Alligator mississippiensis: one gene and its partners. The protein of the gene in region 3 binds, or shares a complex with, the protein of the main gene of each other region. Links are inferred from orthologs where the notes say so. Each region holds a gene or a part of one and is shown on either strand. Other genes may lie near its edges. The genes, in order: ABI1, WASF2 and CYFIP1.

The links.
Region 1: CYFIP1 (region 3) and ABI1 share a complex: the UniProt entries of both Homo sapiens proteins name them as parts of the WAVE2 complex. The link is inferred for Alligator mississippiensis from reciprocal best matches to the Homo sapiens genes CYFIP1 and ABI1.
Region 2: CYFIP1 (region 3) and WASF2 share a complex: the UniProt entries of both Homo sapiens proteins name them as parts of the WAVE2 complex. The link is inferred for Alligator mississippiensis from reciprocal best matches to the Homo sapiens genes CYFIP1 and WASF2.

The regions. Positions count from the first base shown.
Region 1 is NC_081828.1:189,410,014-189,417,223, forward strand, and holds the start of ABI1 (abl interactor 1), read right to left. Parts: upstream 3,019-7,210; 5' UTR 2,934-3,018; coding exon 2,817-2,933; intron 175-2,816; exon of another isoform or gene 76-174; intron 1-75. UniProt on the Homo sapiens protein: May act in negative regulation of cell growth and transformation by interacting with nonreceptor tyrosine kinases ABL1 and/or ABL2. May play a role in regulation of EGF-induced Erk pathway activation. Involved in cytoskeletal reorganization and EGFR signaling.
Region 2 is NC_081829.1:2,438,215-2,445,939, forward strand, and holds the start of WASF2 (actin-binding protein WASF2), read left to right. Parts: upstream 1-4,725; 5' UTR 4,726-4,819; intron 4,820-7,725. UniProt on the Homo sapiens protein: Downstream effector molecule involved in the transmission of signals from tyrosine kinase receptors and small GTPases to the actin cytoskeleton. Promotes formation of actin filaments. Part of the WAVE complex that regulates lamellipodia formation.
Region 3 is NC_081824.1:338,765,664-338,773,376, reverse strand, and holds the start of CYFIP1 (cytoplasmic FMR1-interacting protein 1), read right to left. Parts: upstream 3,014-7,713; 5' UTR 2,892-3,013; intron 1-2,891. UniProt on the Homo sapiens protein: Component of the CYFIP1-EIF4E-FMR1 complex which binds to the mRNA cap and mediates translational repression. In the CYFIP1-EIF4E-FMR1 complex this subunit is an adapter between EIF4E and FMR1.

The DNA of each region.
Region 1 (7,210 bases), on a different chromosome or scaffold from region 3:
CATCTTCTTTCTTTTTCCTTTTATTAGACAGACTTTCAGAACATGAATGGCTTGGCAGACAAGATACCCTACTACCTGGAATTCTGATTTGGTATTGTTTGTTGCACAGTACATGGTAACCGTAAACTGCTTCCCAGTTCCTTTGAACACTGGCATCCAGAGATCAGTCAGTTGCTGGGGGCAGAGTAGGAACAAAGAAAAGAAAGGACAAGAAAGATGATTTAAGTTTCATCTTTTCAGACTGATATATATTCATATATATATATTTCATATATTTTGAATACAGATACTTCTAAAGTTCTCTCAGGGGAGGGAAATCAATCTTTTAAGATTATTGCTTTTAAGTCTTATCTTTAATAAAACTAAGTCTTGCCCAGGTAAAGACAGCTAGATACCAAATACAAAAAAACAGTAACCAGATGTGTTTACAACAAACATTTGTGTGGTTTGATCAAAAATGTCAAACAAAATCCATTTAGTTTCAACTTCACAAAGCACAGGTGGTGGCAACAGAGTAACACCTGCAATGAGAACAGCATATTGCTGTTTAGATCTGAAAGACAGAGCGTATGCACCAGTAGTCACATTTCTGTCAGAGACCTCACAGAGCCTGGTTTGAGTCACTTAAGTAGGGACCCAGATGATGACATCCTACATTTAATGCTGTACTTCGTCTATAGCTTCTCTTGCCTTGTTCTGCTTTGACTGCCTCTTCCCACGATAAAGACAAATGGGGTGCCATAGCCAACCTAGATGTTAAAAATACTGACTGACTTGTCCGATCAAAGATACTCAGTATAAACACCACGTTTTGATCCCACCTACTCATTCTCATCACCCTACACTGGCCTTGTATCCTCTAATCCTGTGGCAGTGCCATCTAGGACACTGCCACTACTACAGTCAATCCTCTGTAACAGTAGAACAGATGGCTTTATTCAAGCCTTACCTTACCAAAAATAATATCTCTCTCATCATCAATACACTTTTTCTAAATTTGATTAAACCTACACACAATGCAAACTAGATATAAACCCCATGAGACTACTGCGTAAGTCCTGACTCTGCATTTTAGCATGTCAGATTCTTTCCAAAAAAGGAAAATACAGCCACTTGCAGACAGGCTGTCAAGTACACAGCAGGTTTTGATTCTCAAGTGGTTGCTGGTTATGTGACTTTCAAATGACTAATGGGATTCATTTCTTTTAAAAACATTAGTAAGGTTTATGATTCTGATCATTTTAAATGAACACAGTGCCAAACAGATTCTTTGCAACTTTTCTCAAATAGAAAGAAGAGTCAGACAGGTCAAAACATGAGCTGCAATTACTATGTTCATGTGTTTGTCATATTTCCCATGAGTAAAACCAAATGCAACCTCACCTTTTAAAAGCATTTGCATCAGCAGATTTTTTCGGGTGGAGCAAGTAACTCCCAAGAACAAAACAAAAAGTTTAAACTGTGTTGCCACCCACTCAGACAGATGTCAACCTTTCCCTATGCAAATTCTGATTTCCTAGTGCAGTTTCAATCTAAAGTGTCAAAATGATTACTTTGTATTTTCAGAAGCAATTTCCTTAAAGAAACATTGTGGTTCCTTTTCAAGTGTGGTGCTCCATGAAAAGAAGGATAACCAGCTAGCTGCAGATGGATACCAAATAACTTGGAAGTATTAAAAACTGTATTGAGCTTTGGTACAGCACACCCAACTGGGGACACGTTACATTTGAAAGGCTTATCTGAAAGACAACTCATGGCATATAGTTCAGCTTCCTTTTCTCTATATCATTTTTCCCGGGGGGGGGAGGGAGGGAGGAGGAGGAGAACAGCTGAGTTCTTTGGGGAATGTACAAGAGGCACAGTGGATGGAAGACTGGATTCGGAAGCAAAGAGATCAAATGAAAGCTTTGCAAACAGTTTAAATTAAAGTGTCCTTAAAGCAGCACCCACAGAGGAGCCTCAGACAGAGGCGCAGGGAACTGGGTCACTAGGAAGCCACCGGTAGCAGGCTGTGGAACCTGGGGCTGTCCCAGCAACAGGGGACACCAGAGCAGTCTGAGGCCCAAGCACCCTGCAGTGGGAACAACAGGCCGCACCTCACAGAAGTGACAGGCCCAAGCATCCATTGCCCTCCGGATGGGGCGCCACAGCAGCAGCAAGCACTGCCTCCCACCCTGCCACACAACGCCCCTGCACGCACACCTGGGACGAGCATGTCCTTTCAGCCCCAGCGGTCCCCAAAGCATGTCTGTGAGCGCACATGCTTACACACCTCCACACACACTGCCAAGGTGTGGGGGGCTCGGGCACTCCTGCCTCGCGGAAGTCCCTCACAGTGGGCAGGTGGGGTGCGACTGTGACAGGGTGTGCGTGGGGGGGCAGCGGAGCAGGGGCAGTGTGCGCCTGACTGACTGACGGGGTGTGGGTGTGGGTCCCGCGGAGAGCAGAGCCTGGCAGCTGGGCGCGCCCTTCCCTTCCTGAGCTGCATGTGCCGCCCGACACACACACGCACACGCAGGCAGGCCCCAGGGCGGGAGGCGCGACGTGACTCACAACAAACAAGCCCGGGGGAAGCGGACACACCCTCCGGGCGCCGCGGCCCGCCCGCCCCCACCCTCCGCCCGGGAGACTGGGATGAAGTTCAGCAGAAAACCTCAGGGGAGAAAAGCCCCGGGCTGCGGCGGGGGCCCTGCCCGGCTGCACCGCTCCCTGCTCCTGCCGCCGCGGCGCCCACTTCCTGCCCTGCCCGGCGCGGCTTGGGCTCGGGCTGCCACCCGCCCCGGCCCGGCCCGGCCCGGCCCCGCCGGCGGCCGCACCTGGATGTAGTTGTTCTCGCAGTAGTCGGCAACGCGCGTGAGGTTCTGGTAGCTCTCGAGCAGCGCGCGCTTGCCCACCGGGATCTCCTCCTCTAACAGCATCTGCAGCTCTGCCATTTTCCACCGCTCCGCATCGCTTCCCCCGCCTTAAAGAGACAGCAGCGGCAACGCCGCCGCCTCGGCCACCCGCCCAGAGGGCATTGTGGGAGACTGCCCCACCCACCCGCTGTGTGGCAGCCTGGGAAATGTAGGCCTCGGCGCTCGCCTCTGTGCGCATGCGTAGGAGGAGGATTGCCTCCGCCGCCTCCTGCGTTTGTCTTTACCACCGGGTCTGCATGGGAGACTCCCCTGCCCGCGCCGCGTCTCGGCTGCTACCGCGCTGAGTGCCTGGGTGGCGGCTCCCCAGCGAGCGCTGCCCGAGCCCAAGCAGTTTTCGGGATGCTTCTTTCTCATCCCTGTTGCTGGGTTTTTGGTTGTAGCCATGTTGGTCTAAGGACACAGGTAAGCAAGGTTATTTGGGTAGATGTGATCTCTTTTATTTGACCAACTGAGTAGTTGGAAAAAAGTTCTTGGCAAGCTTTCGGGCTCAGTCAAAGGGTGACAACACCCAAAAGCTTGGCAAGAACTTTTTTCCAACTACTCAGTTGGTCTAATAAAAGATATTGCATCTACTCAAAGAACCTTGTCTTTCTTATCCCATCCTCTTTGGTTCTTCCAGCAAGCACTGCTCCCCCATTCAAAGTGCTGTGAGAAACCCAGGAGGAAAACCTGGTGGGGGCTGTGGTCCTTGTGGGAATGAACCAGAGCACTCGGGCCACCAGAAGAGGAGGAGGCTGAAGAGAGACACTTCTTCAGTATCTTTTCTGGGGCAGAGTATGGGTTCAGGCCACTTTTACTGAGTTGTGTGATAGCATCAGGCACGGGTGACTGGTGCCTCTTGAGTCAGTGACTGGGAGGGGAAGGGAGTCCCCCAGCAGCCAATCCCACTGACTGCCTGCCCCCCTGCCTGTCGGCTAAACAGGGAGCGCAGCCTGACAGGGTGCACCAGCACTCAGGGGGTGCATATGCACCCCCTACGCATTGCCCCTGACATCAGGCTTTCTTATAATTGTGTGCACATCTCAGCCAGGAGCTGCAGTGGCAAAACTAGAATAAGGGGCTGCGTCCAGAAGAGGACAGACGTTTGGTTCCCCGGGGACAAGAAACAGCCACCTTGTGCCACTGCTACTTGCCCCAGGCCTGTGCCAGGCTCTGGTTTTGGGTGGTGTGCACTGCCACCACATGCACTACCCCACTTCTCTTCGGCACAGGGGTTTTTGACCTCCAGGATTTCCTGGGGTCAAAAAACCCTGTAGCACTGCAAGATTGCAACATGGAGAACGTCTGCATGTGCAGCATGTGGCACTGCAGATGGGTCTGTGGTGCCACATTCCGCACAGCCGCACTAATCTGGACACATCCACAGATTGCTGCTCAACTCAAACAGGCATATAGGCATCTGTCTTATTTGCATCTTACCTGACTTTGTGTTCATCACCAGAAAGGGGGTGCTATAAGGTCTGAGTCAGCCAACACAGAAAGTTCATAACAAGTGATCTAGGAAGGTCCAGAAACTGATTTTCTTTTCTTTGCAATTATCATTGGAAATGTCACACCTGTGGACTTGGATGAGCATACTCAAGAGCCAGAGAGGAAGCCTCTACAGAATAATGCAACTAAGGGACATGTGATGAGCAGACATGGCGTTCTCCAGCTTTGGTTGATGTAAGAAACACATTTTAAAGCATTAATTAAACTTGCTGAACATGTCTTCTTGTGTACATGCACTAGCACAAGGATTTAATTATCACATTTTATGTTTTTGTATTAATTGCTGTATTATGAATGGTGCTTGTTTTGAAAATGATAAAGTTCTTAAGGGGACAACTCTGCCTCAGGATCTTACACTAATCAGAGCTGTAGTAGGCAGCAAATTCTCCTGCTGCTTTCATGGTTCCCTTTCTCTACAAACTGCCTCTACACCAAATACTTTGTATAATCCAAACAGGCAACCTCCTCCTGGTGTCTGCACAAGAATCAAAACTTTACTGGAACAAGAAACAGAACTTGAAAGGTCATATGTAGCAGCGCCACCTAGCTGATACTTGCTGTTAATAGCGGCTTACTTTTGTTTTCCCTATCCATGCAAAGGTTAAATGATTGTTCAAGCATTGGTCAAGCACAGCAAGGCAACAGATGATTTGAAAACAGCACACCTCTCTTGACTGCAGGAGAAGAATAGCTGTGGTCCTATTCAAGATCTACCTACAAAAATAAGTTCTATTCCAGGGAGAAGTTGAGATGACATCCTGCACACAGCAGATTTTGTAGATGCTTAAATATGCTGCTGCATCACTCTAACTTGGCTTCTTATGCATGGGCTCCCTTTGGCTGGGATTTAAAGGCATCCATAAACACAGCCACATTTTGAGGCAGTGGGGCCAACCTTTTTAACAGACCTACCACAAGTTAAGCCTTGCAGCCTCCCTAAGTACTACTCTAATCCCCTGCCCAGTCCCATCTGCTACTCTCCTTCCTGCTTCTTGACTGATCTGCTCCCATGCTGCTGCCTACCCCCTCCTCAGTCTGCCATGTGCCACAAAAAGGCTGCCAGTGCCACTTGCGGCATGTGTGCTGCAGTTTGGCCACCCCTGTTTTGGGGCTTGGTTCCTCCTGGGTTAAGAAGAAGCCTCACAAATGGCAACAAAGTGAACATTTACTCAGTAATTTGGGTAGATCCACAACCCTTGGTCTTCTTTCTTAGGATCATCCTGTACTGGAAAGTTTTATCAACCATACCGATTACACATATAACCTCTATCCCAGTATCCAAAGTGAACACTCTTATGCTGGTACAAGAGTGGCTTATTATTATTATTATTTATCCCTTTCTCAGGGGAGACTAGTACAACCAAAAAAGGGCACTTCAGGCACTTTCATACCTGAATAAGATTGACCAGAAAATTATATCAGTAGAATTATTTTCATTTATACTTGCATTTTAAACCAGGGATCAGCAATGTTTTTTGGGCAGAGTGCCAAAAGCACCCACAACCTCAACTTGTAAAATGTTCACATGCTAGGGCAGATGGTAGGGGAGCCACAAGGGGCCCAATTGTTGTGACAGTGGAGCCCCAGCCCTTTCCCCACTGCCTGCCCCAAACTTTGTGTGCCAAGTAAAATGCTTTCACATGCCAAGCTCTTGCACCCATGCCAGGGGTTGCCTACCTCTGTCTTAGGTTTGTTGGGTACAGTTTATCTCGTGTAAATATAGCCTTGTACAAGGAATGAAATTACCAATGTAATTAATATTTTGTTGATATCATGCTTATTTTTATCATCCCTGAGTTAACACCTCACTGAACTGAATGGGGCAATTCCCACGTCTCTCAGCTCATGCAGAGAGCCCTACAAGACATATATATTTGAGGTTTTCTTCACAACTATAAGAGCTGGAGGGTTTTTTCGTGAGTGCCAAGATTTGAGAATACGAGTATCTTTTTCCAAGAGGTGCCCTCACACACCATGCTCCTGTGAACCCGCTGTTCCTGGGATCTGCCTGACTTAAAAACCGGTGCCTTGTATACTGGACAAGGCTTCCACACAAACTGTTTGTTGCTAGGCAGCAGGAGTGTTTTGTGATGGCAGAGGAAGCACACTCAAGCCAGTCACTGCTAGGCAGCATTAGCCATTGGAGAGCACAAAATAATCAAACAAAACATTGCTATCTTGAGAATGTACAAAGATAGAAGAGGCACAAAAATAAATAGTTCTATGGTACTTTGACTTGATCTTTCTCCCGTAATGCATTTTCATCTATGGCTTATGCCTTCACTCTCAATCCTTTTCTCCGCCCCACTTCACCATTTCTCTCCCCTCTCCCTCCCTCTACGCTCCAATCTTCTTTTATCCCATTTCCTCCCTATAAATGCTCTAACCACCAAGCTTCTCCTTTCTCTCCCTCCTGTTCTGTCCTTTCAATTTCAGTTCTCTCCTCTTCTTTGTTCTGCGGGACTCCCTGCCTCTTGTTTGCCACTTTGTTCCTCCCTCCCCTCAACCTTTCATCTTTCCTGGCTGAGTCTGAGGTCCCCTCTTCTCTAATAGCTCCATAATTTTTCTTACATCATAGATGCTCTTAAATCCCTTCCTCTCCCAGCTCATGGTCACTCCTCTTGGTTTCTGTTTTGCACTCACTGCCAAAATGCCCTTCAAAATGCCAGTTGCAAGGAAGGACGAAATCACAAGATGAAGATAGTGCTTGAGAAAGGGGACAGGTGGTTTGTTGTGAGGGGAAAAAAAGGGTCAGTATTCTGCTGAGTCACCCAAATATGGACAGAAGCAGCCTCATGACCTTC
Region 2 (7,725 bases), on a different chromosome or scaffold from region 3:
ACACGGGCGCACCGAGCATGCTCCTAGACCCCCCTGCGGCTGGAATTCGCTGCTTTTTTTCCCTTCCTCCCCAGCAAGTTGTGTACGGCGGAGATGCTGCTCGATGGGCTGACATTGCTCGTGCAGTAGCAGGGCTCCGAGGTCACCGGCGGAGACATAAAGTGCAAGAGGATTTTTATTTTTCGGTATAAGCTGGCAGAGCCCGGGCGTCCGGGTTGCGAGAGCCTCTCGAGATGCTCTGCCGTGATTTTGCCAGCACCGACCCCAGTAACCTGCTGCTAAATAAGTAAGCCCAGGTGCCACTGGGGGCGGGAGGATGCGCGTCAGCTGCAGGAAGGAATGAAATGCGCCAGCGAGAGCCATGAACCGCACAAATTGCGCTCTGCCCAGCAGTGCAGAAGCCTGGCAAGGATCCCATCGCACACCGCGGACACAGAGACCCTTTCGGCTGCTGCAATAAAAACTCCCTGAGTTGGTTTCTGGGGTGGACCATGCAAAATAAGACCATGTCTTTATTGCCCACTGCATCAGTGCCACCCAAACTGGCCGTGCCAGCCCGCTTCTTGCACTCGGTGGCGGGGGGCCAAATCCTGCCTGCCTCTTAGCACCGCCTCACCCTTGTCCCTGGCTGCAGATGCAAAATATCTCGGAGGCGACAGCCAGGTTTTGTCTCCTCTGGGCAAGTTCCCCCTTCCCACGGGGGCGGGAGCCGGGAGGAAGGGTGGCGTCGGAGTTTCGTTTTTTCTGAGATACCGTTAACTAGTGAGCAAAGGTTGCAGTGTCTCCATGGAGACAAGACAGTGAGCGAGACGGCGTGTGTGTGGATCTAAGGTTAGCGCTGATTAGTAAATGTCAGCAGCACCGCTGCGTTCCCGCAAGTGCCCTCCACCAGCGCCAGCGCCGGCCTGGGCGCCCGGCGGCACGGGCAAAGCAGCGAGCCAGGCTGGGGGCGAGGGCACCTCCGTGCCCACGGGGAACCGGGATCCCGCTGACCCCTGGGCAGTGCTGGCGTTGTCACTTTGCCATCGTGACCGCTGCCAGCCCAGGTCTCCAGCCCCCCCGAGGTTTATCGCGGCCCCTCGCTGCGCCCCGTGCAAGCATCAATCGAAGGGGGAGACTGGGGTGCAAGATGCGTGCTCCTTGGCCCTTGGCCTGGCCGCTGGGCTTGGGGTGCCATGCTGATCAGGCTCCGGCAGAAGATCTCGAGGATGACAAACCGGAGCGCTCTGCAAAACAGAAAAGCGCAGCTGTCTCCGTCTTGCGGAGAGAGAAACGGCGACTCGGAGAGATAAAGGGGTTTGTGGTTAGGACTGACGTGATGCCAGTCGCTGTCGCAGCTCGGCGCCTGGATCAAACCTCGCTGCTCCCAGCTCCCAGCCCTGCTCTGTCACCACGAGGCTACGTGGCCTCCCTACAAAACAGGTCATTTCGGGGTCCTGGGGGCTTCGGTCGCTGAGTTGAGCCCCTTTTGAAGAACAGGCCCGTTTTCGTGTCCATAAAGTGCTGACGGCGTGACGAGCCAGCGCGTCGCAAACCTCCCTTGCAGCTTATCAGAATGAGAAATGTAAGCAGAGCTCTCCTCCACGCAGCACAAGTGAGCAGCTGGCTGGGAAAACCAAGGGACCGCTGAAGCTCACAGGCAGGATTTCACGTCCGCCCCCAACACACAGCACTGCACCACCGCTCTGTCTTCACAAAGCAGATCAATCAGCTCGACGGGCTGGCTTTACTTGATGCTCTTCGGTCCCCGCATCCCTTCAGCTTTGGTCCGGTTCGGAGGCCTGCACGTGAACAAGTGCTCGGCCCCGGAGGCGTTGCTCTAATGTCGAGGCCAGGTGCAAATCCCTGCCCGTTGCCTCCGTTTCCCAAAGCCAGTCGCAATCTGCGGGTGCCTCTCGGTCGGAGGGTGCGCTGCTCCGTGCACCCCTCCTCAGGCAGGGCAACCGTGCAGTCCCAGGTGAGACGGCAGCACGTACCGAGCCTGCCCGGGGATTAGCAATGCAGCGGCACAGGCTCCAACGCAGGCTGGACAAACCTGTCCGAAATCCTGGGTACGTGCTGGGCTACAGATGAGCAAGGAGGCTTTTAGGCCCCCCGTTCCTAGAGACCCCCCGTGTTATGTGGGCAGCGGGGATGTACTCGGATGTGCTGCAATACCCACGCGGTTGTTAGCACCGAAGCAGTTGCCTATCGACACACGCTGCCGTTATGCTGCAGTGCCGTGAAGAGATCACCCTGTGCAGCTCCGAGCACATGGTCAGCTCCACGCAGAGTTGCAGTGCGATGGCCCAGTGAGCCCTCCCGAGTCCAGATGGGCAGTGGCTTGATCTTACTTAGCTCCCCGAGATCAAGCATCTTATTTCCAGAAGGCCTCGTTCGGTCTGCTGGCCCCCTTCGGTGGTCGGCACTAAGATTTTGACAGGCACAACCCACGGGCTTAACGTAATGAGATTGCAGCGCTGGGGAAGGATAGAAAAAAGGAGCATAAGCTCAGGACTGAAGTTCACCATGAAAGCAGCGTGTCATGGAAAAGCCTCCATCATCTCCCCCCCCCCCGCCCACGCCAGCTGCTCAGCTAGTCACCTTGGCGGTCTGCAGGGCAGCGCAGCCAGAGGATCATTTACAGGCAGAAAATACAGAAAGGCAATTGGCAGGTGATGAGATCCTTTCCAGGAGAGAAATAAGTGTCAGGGGGCAGCGCGGCTGCCTGGGATACTGCAGCACAGCACATATTCAGGAGGGCTAAACTGAGACACGTGTGCGTGCAAGCACCCCCCCCCCCCCCGAGATAAAGGTTGCAGAGCAGACACAGATTAGGTGGCTCCCTTGAGGCTATGACACCTAGAGAGAGAAGCAAATCCTCTTCGAGTGAACTGGCAGCGAGGAAAACCTGGAGTCCAAAACCTCCAGCACCTTCCCGTTGGGGCAGAGGCTACGCCTTGCGGCGGTGCGAGCTTGTTAGCACCGCAGAGGTGCGGGGCACCGGGCAAGGGGCTTCTCACGGGGAGAGCGTAGATCCGTTGCTCTCAACTTCGTCCCGGCGTAGACTCAAGGTCCCCTGGGAAAATGCCAGCTCTTCGCTTTCACTGTTTTTTTGGACTACAGAAAAATAACACGAGCATTTTTTTTTTTCCCTGTGGCAAAGCACTCGGAAAGACCCCAGCTGCGGATTCCTATTTGAAACCTCTGGGTTTTTCTCCTGAATCGCTAACCGGGCAGTGGCACCCCGGGGAGGATCTCAGGGCACCCTGCTTGAGAATCCCTGGTGCTGATGGGAGGAGCTCCTGGAGGGGTGGCGCCAAGTAATTAGTCCTGATTATTTCAAGATGTGAGCTAAAGGCAGGCCCCAGGGAAGGGGGGGGGGGAGATGGGATGCGGTCAGGGAGCACTGGCAGATTGGCAGGTGCTGATTAAGACGAGCGTGACCTTCAGCCCTGGAGATGCTCGCTGACCCAGTTGCTGCGGCGTTCAGCTGCCGAGCCGTCCTTTGTTGGCCTTTGCTGTGGCAGCCCCGCGAGGTGCTGCGCTGCGGGAGGGGAGACGGAGAGCTGCGCGGGCCTTGCACGTGGCTCGTGTGGCAGGTGTGTCGTCTGCGGGCGCCGGGGGAGTCCAGGAGGGTCCCTGGGCTGTTCTCTTTGTGCTGTGCGCAAAGTGGGGCGAGGACGAGCTGCTTTCCCCACCCCACCCCGCTCCCGTCCCACGTCCCCAGCGCAGCCAGCTTCCCGTGGCACGTGGAAACGCAAGGGGGAAGTAGGTGGGCTGTGGTGCGCTCTAGCTAGTGCCTAATCCAGCTCCAGCTGGCACAGTTTAGAGCGACCCCCAGGCTGCTCTAACTTTCCCTAAGGCCGGGAGGGAATCGGGGAGTTTGCTCCTACGCGTGTGCCATTGGTGCAAAGGGGAGCGCCTGCACTGCTCTCGCCTGCCGCGCGTCCCTGCAGCATTGCAAAGGGCATATATTGGGATTTGGGGGGGGACCCCAAATGTAGGGTGGCACTTAGTGAATTAATTATAATGCATTTGCAAGGGCACTCCATCCCTCGTGGGCTGAGCAGATGGAGGCCTCTGGCTCGTGCTGCTGATGTGACTTGTGCCCATTTCCTTGCCCTGCTAGTTGTGCCTCTTAATCCGGAAGTGGCAGGCAGGCCAGGCTGCGGCACTGCAGGGGTTAAACAGGCACCGCCCGCCTCTGCTCCGCCCCCTGCCGGAAGGCCCAGCCCCACCCCCGCTCTCGTTTCCATTTGGGCCCTTCCCTCTACTAGTATCCCCCCTCCCCCTTTTCTTTTTCCGAAGTGGACCCTTCCTCAGAGTTCACGAGCCGTGCGGGTAGGACAAGACCAATGCCAAATGAGGGGTGGGTCAGCCCTGGAAATGCCCACCGTTCCCTAAAAAAAAAGAAAAACAAGGCAGCCCAATGGCATCCAAAGAAGACACATAACTATTTCCGTCAAGTGCTAGCCTTGAGTTCCCACCCCAAGCAGCCATGCTTCGCTTCCCCTCCCCTCCCCTCCCCGCGGGTGGTACGTTCCCCCTTGTTTACTCTGTTTGCGTCGCCCGCTTGGGTGCGGCCCCGGTGTTACGCTAGCGTCGTACGCAAGCGGCGCAGCACGGCGGCTTTGACAGGCGGCGCCCAGCAGCCAATGGCATGCGGGGAGAGGCAGGCGGGGAGCCAATGGGGCGGCGCGCCGGCGCCCGGGGAGGCGGGGCGGGGCCGCGCCGGGCCGGGCGGGCGGGAGGGGAGTCGCGGAATGGCGGCCGGCGGGGGCGGCCCGCCCCGGGGGTAGCGGCGGCGGCGGCGGCCGAGACGCGGCTCCAAGCGGGGGTGAGCGAGCGCGCGCGGGAGGGCGAGGGGGGGCAGCCGGGCTCCAGGCCGCTGCCACATAGGGAGCCACGGGCCTGTGGTGGGGGGGCGCTTCCTGCCACATAGTGACCGGGGGACTGGTCCAGGGGGGCTGCCCCCCGCTTATGGGGTTATAGCCCCCCCCTTGGGGTGTTTGCCCCCTCCCCCCCCCTTGGGGTGTGTGGGGCTGCCCCCTCCCCCCCCCTTGGGGTGTGTGCCCCCTCCCCCCCCCTTGGGGTGTGTGGGGCTGCCCCCTCCCCCCCCGTTGGGGTGTGTGGAGTTGCCCTCTCCCCCCCCTTTGGGGTGTATGCCCCCTCCCCCCTCTTGGGGTGTGTGGAGTTGCCCCCTCCCCCCCCTTTGGGGTGTGTGCCCCCTCCCCCCTCTTGGGGTGTGTGGAGTTGCCCCCTCCCCCCCCCTTTGGGGTGTGTGCCCCCTCCCCCCCCCTTTGGGGTGTGTGCCCCCTCCCCCCCCCTTTGGGGTGTGTGCCCCCTCCCCCCCCCTTTGGGGTGTGTGCCCCCTCCCCCCCTTGGGGTGTGTGGGGTGCCACGACAGGTGCGTGGGGCTGTGCTGTGCCCCACCCGCAGCAGTGCCGGGGGCGGGAGAGCGCGTGGTCCCGGCGTGGCAGGGTGGGGCCGAGGACACCTCGCCCTAGGCGGCCCCCCATCCCGGAGGGGCTGCGCGGGGTGCAGCAGGCCCAGGGCAGCCCCGCGCTGACCTCCACACGGGTGTCATCTCCCGCGTGTCCTTGGGCCTGCCCGAAAGCAGCACTCGGAGGACACGAGCCCTGAATCCCTTCGGGCCGGGGGAAGTTGCGGCACTTCCCGGCCCTCGGGCCCTGCTCTGACATCAGGGAAGTTTTCTCAAAGTTTGTGCTGCTGCCTGGGCTGGACGTGTCTCGGTGACATCCTCAGCCCCGCTCGCCCTCCCGCGCAGGGGGGGCGGCTGGCAGTTTTCGATGCCGCTTTAAAATGCCGAGAGCGGGTTTGTTTCCCGGGGTGTTAAAAGTGTTGGTGACCTGCCTGCTGCACGGCGCCCGCTATCCCAGGCATCAGAGGAGATGTTAGCAGCGAGGAGGAGCTTTTAGAAGATGTTTCTGCTGTGGACAGGGCTGTAATTTGTCAAGCCCTTTGTGCTCCTTACGCTTGTATGACATCCTTAAGAGCAGGAAGCCTTGCGAGAGGGGGGAAAAGTTGAAAGTGAAAGACGTGCCGGGGCCAGCGAAGAACAAAGGCCCTGCCTTGCAGTAGAACTGACACGAGAAATGTTACTTAATGGGCAATATTTAAGTGTGCACGCTTGCACAGTATTTGCCAAATGAGGAAGAAAAAGGGCCTAAACGTCTCACACTAGTTTGAAATGCCTGCAGAGCCGGTGCTTATTAAAAGCTGCTCACATGGACGTGTTCAGCGTTAGGATTTTCGGTTCAGCAGAAGTTCTGTGTCGAGCGCTCTGAGCGGGTTTTGTCTTGTATTTAAGTTATCCTTTTCCATTTCGTGTTTTAAACCAATCGAATTTAAACTTCAATGATATCTTTATAGTATGACTTGGAAAATCTGATCAGTTGCAGACTCGCAATCAATGCTTTACCTGGCGAGAGGACTGAGCGGGCCAGATGCTTCTGCAGATTTTATGCTTTTTTTTGAGAGAGAGAGCGAGAGTTTTTGTTGAAAATGTGAGTGGGAAAGCTGGACCTAAGGTGCAGAGGTCAACCTAATCCAGATCCCTGTGTGAGCCACCACTTGGAAGGCAGGACCTGAGTGTGTTGTCAGCAGCAGGGATTGAACCTGGGACCTCTGCATTCAAAAGCATGAGTTTTCTACTATGAGTTGTTTTTATGTGTTGGGGTTTGTTTTTAACTCCAAAGCCTTTGTTCTCCCTGCCAGGACTATAGCAGGCTCATCAACTTTAGGGTTTAACCTAGCCAAAACGAGGGTGCAAGCACCATGCTGAGTGGGTGGAAGCTACGAGAAAATAATCTTCCAGGATGAATGGACTGTACATCTTTCTGAGGCCCTGCTTCACTTTGGTTGGGGGTTTTTTATGTACGTGTGCGCCTCAGAGTAACCAGTGTGCATTACCTATCCTGAAGGGAAGACAGGGCCACCTCAGTTTTACCGCGAGGAAATTCAGCAGCATGCCTTGTCTTGATCATTTTTTAAATTTATCATGCCTGTTGTTAATTATGTGGCTAAGACCGGAGTCTGGATCCACTGGGTCCAGTACCACTTCTACTGGCCAGGGTCTTTCCAAGCACCCGCAGGTGACATGAGCAACACACCCGGCAGTTTCACCACCGCCTTTTCCTTCTGAATCTGGTGAGCGGCAGTGAATGCTTTGTCTGGGATGATGTAGTTGGGCTGGTCTTGCTTGGAGCAGGGGGTTGGACTACATGTGACCTCCTGAGCTCCCTCCCACCCCAAATTTTCTATGATTCAATGAAACTGGTAGAACCCGGGGAAGCTGAGTGGTCCTTAAAACTTCAAGGTGGACCTCCACTCACCATTCGTTTGCCCCTTGCCATGATAAGTTTTTGGTGAACTTCCTAAGCTCAAATTTGTACGGGTGTCCAGAACATTCACGATAATGGAAAACGTGCTAGAATAAGAGCTGAAGAAAAAGGCAAGCGGGCTTTGGGTAGTAGTACTGATGCAGAGTGCAGCAATGTATTTGTAGTGCTGTATTTAAAACAAAACAAAAAACAGTCTTAATAAGCAGTAGACAGCCACAAAACTATTGACGAATTTTTTGGCAAAAGGGCTGAATTAGTAGTAATGTTCTGTTGAGCCAAATTTTATACCCACATCTCTAGGAAATGTATTGTGTGCCAAATAAATACAGAAAGCATATCTTAAAGCTTACAGTTGAGAACACTTTCATGAGTAGTGACT
Region 3 (7,713 bases):
TAATGAACTAAATTAGCATGCAGATAACTTTAAAAAAAATCTCTCTGGTTGCATCTTTTCCTTTGCTCTCACTTTACTTCTTGTTAGCTCAGTGGCTGGCCCTGGTGGAACCCAATACCGGAGGGGGCACACATACCATTCAGCTGTATGTACAACATAGACACATACCGCCACTCCACTTCTAAGCATAGTTTACAGCATCCAGACATCTTTAAAATACTGAGCTTCCTGAAGAGAGAAACTCGTCTACTATACTTTCTACTTACGTACAGATATGTATACTTATATACTTATGTACAGATACCTGGAAAAGCAGTGATAAGATCCAAATAGTACATACAAAAACTTATGAATGATTTCTGCAGTGGTTGTAATGATTCTATAACGTATGTTAGAGAAAACACTTTTTAATAAGTCAAGGTAAAAATTACTACTAAAATCAACTACATTTTTGACAGCTGTAAACAGCTGTAAACTCTGGAGTTACAAGTAAAACCAGTCCTACAACCTGAATAAACCCAAGAGTTATATCCAGGATATGCACCGTGAAATATGGTAATCTTGTTATAAGTCAAGGTTTGAAGCTCAATTTTTTGATGGTCTTAGTTATTTCAATACATTTCTCAATATCTAGTACCCTAAATTTAAAAAATTGCAATGTATTTTGTATTTTCAGACAACAGAGGAATTCATGAAGTCCCATTCCTTTACAGGAATTTCATTAGCCCTTTGTTCTTTAAATAAGTAAGCCTGAGAAAGTCTCCACTTTATACCAAGTCTTTGATCTTTAAGTCTGCAGCACGCAAAACATAAGATTTCTCTCATTTGACAGGAAAAAAGGAAAAAAAGTTAGCCTGTCTCCCCTTCCCCGCCATTCTAAAATTTGATTTTAAGTTGTTCCCACTTTCTGTCACTTACAGGAACAGTCTATTTAAAACAGCTGAACTGCATAAGCAAATGACATGAAGCAACACTTGAAAAAAAACACAAAAAAACAACAAAGCCATGTAGAAGAGGCCAGCCGAAACATTATATGTAGATCCCAACACAGTTTTTGAAAAGGGATGAAACTGGGGCTAATCATGCAGGTTCACAAAACAATATAAATCACAGCTATTCAATCTAAGTACAACAGATTGTGAATATGAAAATACTGACCAGAAAGCAGGAAGCTTCAGCAGGGTATATTATTCTACCTTCCAGTTTCAAAAGTACACAAACTCACAATGATGCAGGCATCAACATTCACTAGACCTCATTTCAATTCTAGAAAGTTGCAGCACGTGCAGTGCAATACCTGTGATGGTGACGAGACCCTCCAGTCAGCAACTACAAGTCTTATGATTCTAGAGGAATTTCAAAGCTTCTAACAATGTATTTTTTTACATCCCTGTTAAGGAACTTCCCTTCTGGACAACCAATCCAGTCACCACTCAAAACCAGCTTGCGGGATGTCACAAATACTGATCTGCTTGCAGTGTGTGATTTGCTCTTCAAACCCACTACAAAGCTTACAAACCAAAACAGCTGGGGAATTGTATTAGAAAACATCAGCTGTGTAAATTTAAGCCTTCTGTTTGCAGTTGGGAAGGGCCTTCTAAACAGCCAGATATCCATTTGCCTTCAGAAAGTCCTGCCAAGGCAGTAGGATGAAACACCACCAGGTCACCAGGATGTCTACTGGAAGCTGATATCTTCCTTTCTATCCTGCCCTGCTCCTCACAGACAATACTAGTGGAGCTGGAAAGGAACCAGTTTCCTTCAAACTGTTGTTCCAAGGGTGCTTTCTTTTGCCACAGCCACGGGCCTCCCCTTTGCAACAGCAAGTCCAACCCAAGCCTCACAGTTGGGGGGGGGGGGGGAACGGGTGTCAATTCTCCTCCGCATTTGAGAGGCACTGACAACCTGGAACAGGCAACTTAGAGAAACAGTGGGATCTTCATCCTTAGAAACTGTCCAAGAGCAGATGGGCCAGCCCTTGGCTGGCATGGTTTAATCAGGACAATCCTGCCTGGAGCACAAGGCTGGACTAGATCAGTGTTTCTCCAACTGTGGGTCACAACCCTGGCTTTTTCCTTGTAGTCTGGCAGAGTTCCAGCCTGCAAGGGGCTGCTTGGGGGCCCCTGTGCTCCACACACACCTAACCCCACCCCACACACTGTGGGTGGTGGGCAGTGGGTCAGAAGTGAGAGGCACTGGACCAGGACAAGCCATCAATGTTTGCAAATGGGTCCTGGTCCAAAAAAGAGTAAGAAGCACTGGAGTAGAGGACCCCTGCATATGGGTGACTGATGCCTCCTGAGTCTGGGGGGGGTAGGGGGGGGCCAGCAGGGCACAGCCAGCCATACAATGACCCAGCAGCCAGTCACCAAACATGCTAGCGGAGCCAATTTGGGGAGGGGGGGGGCACTAGCACTCTCCATGCCCCCCTACCAGCCAGAGCGCTGTCAGGGGGGCACCAGCGCTCTCAGGCCTCCACCCCCACATATCCCCTATGCCTCTGGAGATCCCTCGCCTCTGGAAGTCTCTTCCAGCCTTACTTCCCTATGTGCCCCTTGCCAGGCAGGGCATGCGCTCCCTTTGCCCCTGTACCATATGTGGGGCTCAGAAACGCAGGAGACCTTGCCTCCAAGCAGCCAAACGCAGGCGCTGAGGGCCGCCTAGGCCAAGCCCCTGCCAGTCAGGAGGTGCCCAGGCTTTAGCCTGCCCAGGTCCGGCACCTCCCTCCCCTCAGCCGGAACCCCCGCGGCTTCTTGCGCGCAGGGGAAGCCCCGGGCCCGAAGCCCGCGGGCAGCACGTCACAAGGGGGCTGGAGGAGAGGCAGGAGCCCCCGGCCGCCCCCCGGCCCGCGGGAGCAGCGAGGGGCAGGCGAGGCGCTGCCCGGTGCTCACCCGTCCGCGGCAGCGCGGGGTGCAGCCGCCGCCCTGGGGATCGCCGCCGCTGCGCTGGGCCGGGAGTTTCCTGCCTGAGTCACTGGAGCTGGGAGCTGCGCAGGGAAACACCCTTCCTGCGGCTCCGGCCCCGCCTCCCTTCCCCGGCAGGAGCTGGGGGGTGGCCCCGGCAGCGCGGGCCCGGCCCCCTCGGCTCCAGCTTCCTACGCTCAAACCGGCCCCCAGCCGGCCCTGCTGTCTCCAAGCGTGCCGCAGGGGGCGGCGGCTGCGGCTGAGCACGGGCCAGGCCGGGCGGGCTGACCCACCGGGGGTCTAGGGGCTGCACGTGGGGAGGGGCATGGCCACGCCTGCCGCAACACCCACCTTGCAGCAAGGGAGGGCTAGGTCCCAGTAGGGTGGCCATCATAGGGCACAGTCCGGTTGTCCTTTATTGATACAAAACCGGACGCCTTTATGTCCTCTATTTTTCTCATCAAGACCTCTGGATATGGGCGGCTTGTGCCTCTTGAGTCTAGGGGACACCAGCGGGGTGTGACCGGGGGTAGGGTCCCCCAGCGGCCACCGGGGCAGGGGGGGACCCAGCCTCCAGTCACCAAGTGCACTGGCACAACCAGTTTCAGGGGGAGCACTAGCGCTCTCTGTGCACTCTCCATTGCTCCAAAAGAAAAATAGAGGACATAAAGGCATCCAGTTTCATATCAATAGAGGACAGAGTAGCAGAAAACCAGAACATCCTCAGTGGTGGCCACCCTAGGTTCAAGATAAGGAAAAACCTCCCTCCAGAGGAGGGTAGAAAAGCACTGAAACAGGTGACCCAAAGAGGTGGTGGACTCTCCAGACTTGGAGGCTTTTAAGACCTTAGTAGACAAAGCCTTGGTTGAGATGATCTAGTTGGGGACAGCCCTGCTTTGAGCAGAAGGTCGGACTAGATCTGCATTTCTCAACCTGTGGGTTGTGACCCAAAAGTGGGCTGCAAGAAAATACTAAAGGGTCATGAACAAACTTTAAAAAGGGATCAACAAACTAAAAAATTGTTCTTCTTTTTAGGGGAAAAATGTGGGAAACCATGGTTTTTCCCTTGCAGGCTGGCAGAGCTCCAGCCAGCCGTCCCTACACACTGGGGACGGGGGGGCGGGGAGCAGCAGGTCAGGAGTGAGGGCCACTGTGTCGGGACTGGCCACTAATGTTTACAAATGAGTCCTGGTACAAAAAAGGTTGAGAACCACTGGACTAGAGGACCTCTTGAGGTCCCTTCCCACCCTCATTTTCTATGTTTCTGTGTTTCTCCAGCTGTACTCAGAGGCTGGGGCAGGTCAAGGGGGCAGCCAGGGGGTATTTACCACCGGTCCTGTTTTTCCCCTACACAAGATGCTTAATGTGCAGGAGACTCATTCTACTGCACATTAGCACAGCAGACACAACCTGTACCACTGCACAGTAGATTTAATCTAATGCTCATTAATGTCACTAAAGAACCAGTCATCTCTGCTACTGTGCATTAGCACTGAATATGGCACATTAAGTTGGTATCTGTCATCACAGATACTAAACTTAATGCACTGTAATTATGGTGCATTCATGAATTTGTAAATGCTCCCAGTTAAAAAGAAACTAGAAGCTTCACTGTTCGGCCAGGGCAGGTCCAGGGGGTAGCTAGATGAATGAGCTATGAAGCCAATTGATTCCCTGCCTAGAAATGCTGCTGCTACTAACAGGCAACTAACTGGTTTAAAACTTTGAGTGGAGTAGGAATCAAAGTAGGATCCACCCCAACTATGTCTATCACAACAACCATGTTTTTCCAGTTAGATACAAACTAGAAGCTCAACTGACAAGCTGGGACACATCCAGGGAGAAGATAGAGTGATCTGGCTGGGATGATCTAGTTGGGGATGGTGCTGCTTTGACCTTCTGAGGTCCCTTCCAACCCTCATTTTCTATGATTCTAGGGGTGTCTACTACTAACACCTCCTTTTCCCCAATTAAAAGAAGCTAGAAGACTTGCTAATCGGCTGGGTGCCTGGAGCTGTGTTGTGCAGTTTCAGATGGAAGCAAAAACAAAGATAAGTTCCTTGGAAAGAGTTAAAAACAGTCTGCAGGGCTGTGAAATAAGAGCTTCCTAACCAGCTAACAGACAGCAGAGTTGCTGAAGAAAGGCTAACGTGCTTGGTGGAACAGGCAGACCCTTGAAAAGAAGAGAGGCAGGTTAACACCTGTGGAATACAGAATTTGGAAGGGGTCAGGTAGATGGATAATGAGGCATGAAGTCAAGTGACTCTGACAGCGCTGCCTAACTAGAAATGCTGCTGCCACTGCCAGGCAGTTGGTTTTAAACTTTGGGTGGAGCAGAAATCAAAGGGGTATGCAAGTGTGTCAGTGCAACCCCCTACATGCCCCTGCCCCAGATTTCTATGTGACATCTCTGGGTTTGTGATTCATGAGTAAGTGCTTGCACAGCAAACAGTGCTAATATTAAGCAGCACCCCTCAGCACCCTTAATTTAGGAGTCACGAGATCATCTTAACAATCAGCAGCTTTCAGCTCTGGGATAAAATCTGGGGAGGTAGGGACAGCCATTCCTCCTGGTGGTGCATGTTTTTGTATCAAATTGTATACCTAAAAATGGTACCAGGTGTCCTATTCCCCACCACCCCTTGACACTAAGTTTGCCTAAATCTTCACAGCACTCATGGCAGCAGGTCCCAGTGCTGCAGACTTGCATACCTTTTCAGCTGTACACATATTGAGTGTTTCCCGTTTAATCGGGCTGTGCAGGTGCACAAAGTTAAGCACAAAGGTAATGCTCCATCCTGCAGAAACTGAAGTCAGACCCTCAGGACAGTGCAGGGAGCAAGCCAATGTTGGTAGATCCACTTCTTTACCTGTAGTGTAAGCCTCCGTGTGAATTTTTCTGACACTTTGAAGCAAGTAGTTTCTCACTCCACCACATAGGGTTTTTCACATTTATGTTAACAGACTTGATGCTTATATTTACATGTATAACACTCACTTTGCATTTTCATTCTTCCAGAAAACTTCTTATTTTGTAAAAAGATGAGTCAACTTGCCCAGAATGTGTGGAGTGTTCAGGAGTCAGCCCAATGTGCTGCAGTGATCCCATTTATTTCTACAGGCCTCTTTCTACATGTAAAATTGAGCACATGGTCAGCACCTTCAGGCACAGAACAGGAGTGCCTTTCTCACTTCATGGAATTGAGGAGAGGGGTCATGTTGATGAGGAACAGAGATCTCAACTGTTCGGCCATGGGATAAGAACTGTACCTTCTTCGCAGCATGGAAAGTGTGTAGTACACCAGGGGCAGAAATAAAGCTAAATTGTTTCAGAAATCACACACACACACACACACACACAAATGTATATATCTATTCTGTCTGAAATAATAATACAATATTACATACTGGCCCTCAAAATGCTTAGCCCGGGAATTACCAATACTTTCCTCATTCAACATTCCCATTCTTTCCTTGCCCAAGTTAATTTTCTCTCTCCATACTCTAATACACAAATAATACAGTAAGACATTTCCATTGATGCACTTATTTCTGTTTCCAAGGACTTGTTCTCAGTAGAGAAATGGGAAGTACTAATGGCTGTGTTGTCAAAGAGACTTATGTATTTCAATTAATCATAGGCTTAAGGGCTTTGCTCACTTAGTGTATGAAGCAGAATCTCCAATCCCATCTTATTTTTCTAACATGTATAAAAGTTAATACCACGTGCTCTTGCTATTTCCAGCAGATTACAATTCATAACTGAACTGAAGTGGTTACTTTTTACTACACTGGAAAAGATAAATTGTAGCTTGGCAAAGGGAAGCAAGAGGGCTAGAAAGGGAATCCTTTTCAGGTATAAAGTTCCAAAAAATGGAAAAAAGTAGAGAAGGAAAAATACAGATAACTGATCAGAGACTCAAGTCTGACATACTCATTCAGGGAGCTCAAAATAGTGGCAATAATTAAAACAAAAGGAAGTAATTTTGAAAAAACAGATTAGTATATTAAACACACCATAAAACTAACTTAATGAAACTTAGGTAGCAAACTGTCTTGATTGGGGTGAATAAAATGTGGGTTAGCTCTGTAGCCATTACTGCCACAATGATCTTCAATTACATAATTTCAAATTTATTTTCTAGAACACCTATTTGGTTATTTTGTCTCAGACTTAAAATGACTCTTTGGGATCCAGAGCTGACTTACACTGTAGTGTAGAAATATATTTGTTATGATCTAATAAAGGAGCTCTCTCTATTATCTTTAATCTTATCTTGGATGTATGATCTGGATAAGCGCTGCTCATTTTCTGAATTTTAAAATATTGAATGTGGAACCAAATGGGGCACAACAGGCATCTCTGTGCAGTAGCCTCTCTCTCAGTGTCCATTTTCCTTTGTTTTCTCCTTTGTTGATCACACTTCCTCCAATTTCTCGAGCCCTCTGTCACTTGGCACCTCCATTTCTCCTGCCTTCCATTTTTGTTTGGAGTCCCCTAAGATTATATCTTATTCCTTTCATCTCCATCACATTTTATACCCGAGTGACTTCATTTACTTGTCTTCAATGACCATCTTTCTGCTGCTCTCTTTTTTCCATTCTGACTTCTTCCCGTGTTGTCTTGAAGTTGTCATTTAAACTGAGCATAATACAGAACTCCTCTCTTCGTTACCTCCTTGATCTCCACTGCCAGTTGGTTTTTTGTCCTCGAGAGCACCCAGAATGCTATCAGCACAACAATAACAGCTATAGAGCCAATCCACATTTCATTCTCTCTCCAATTTTCCATTCTCACCTTTGTTGATCA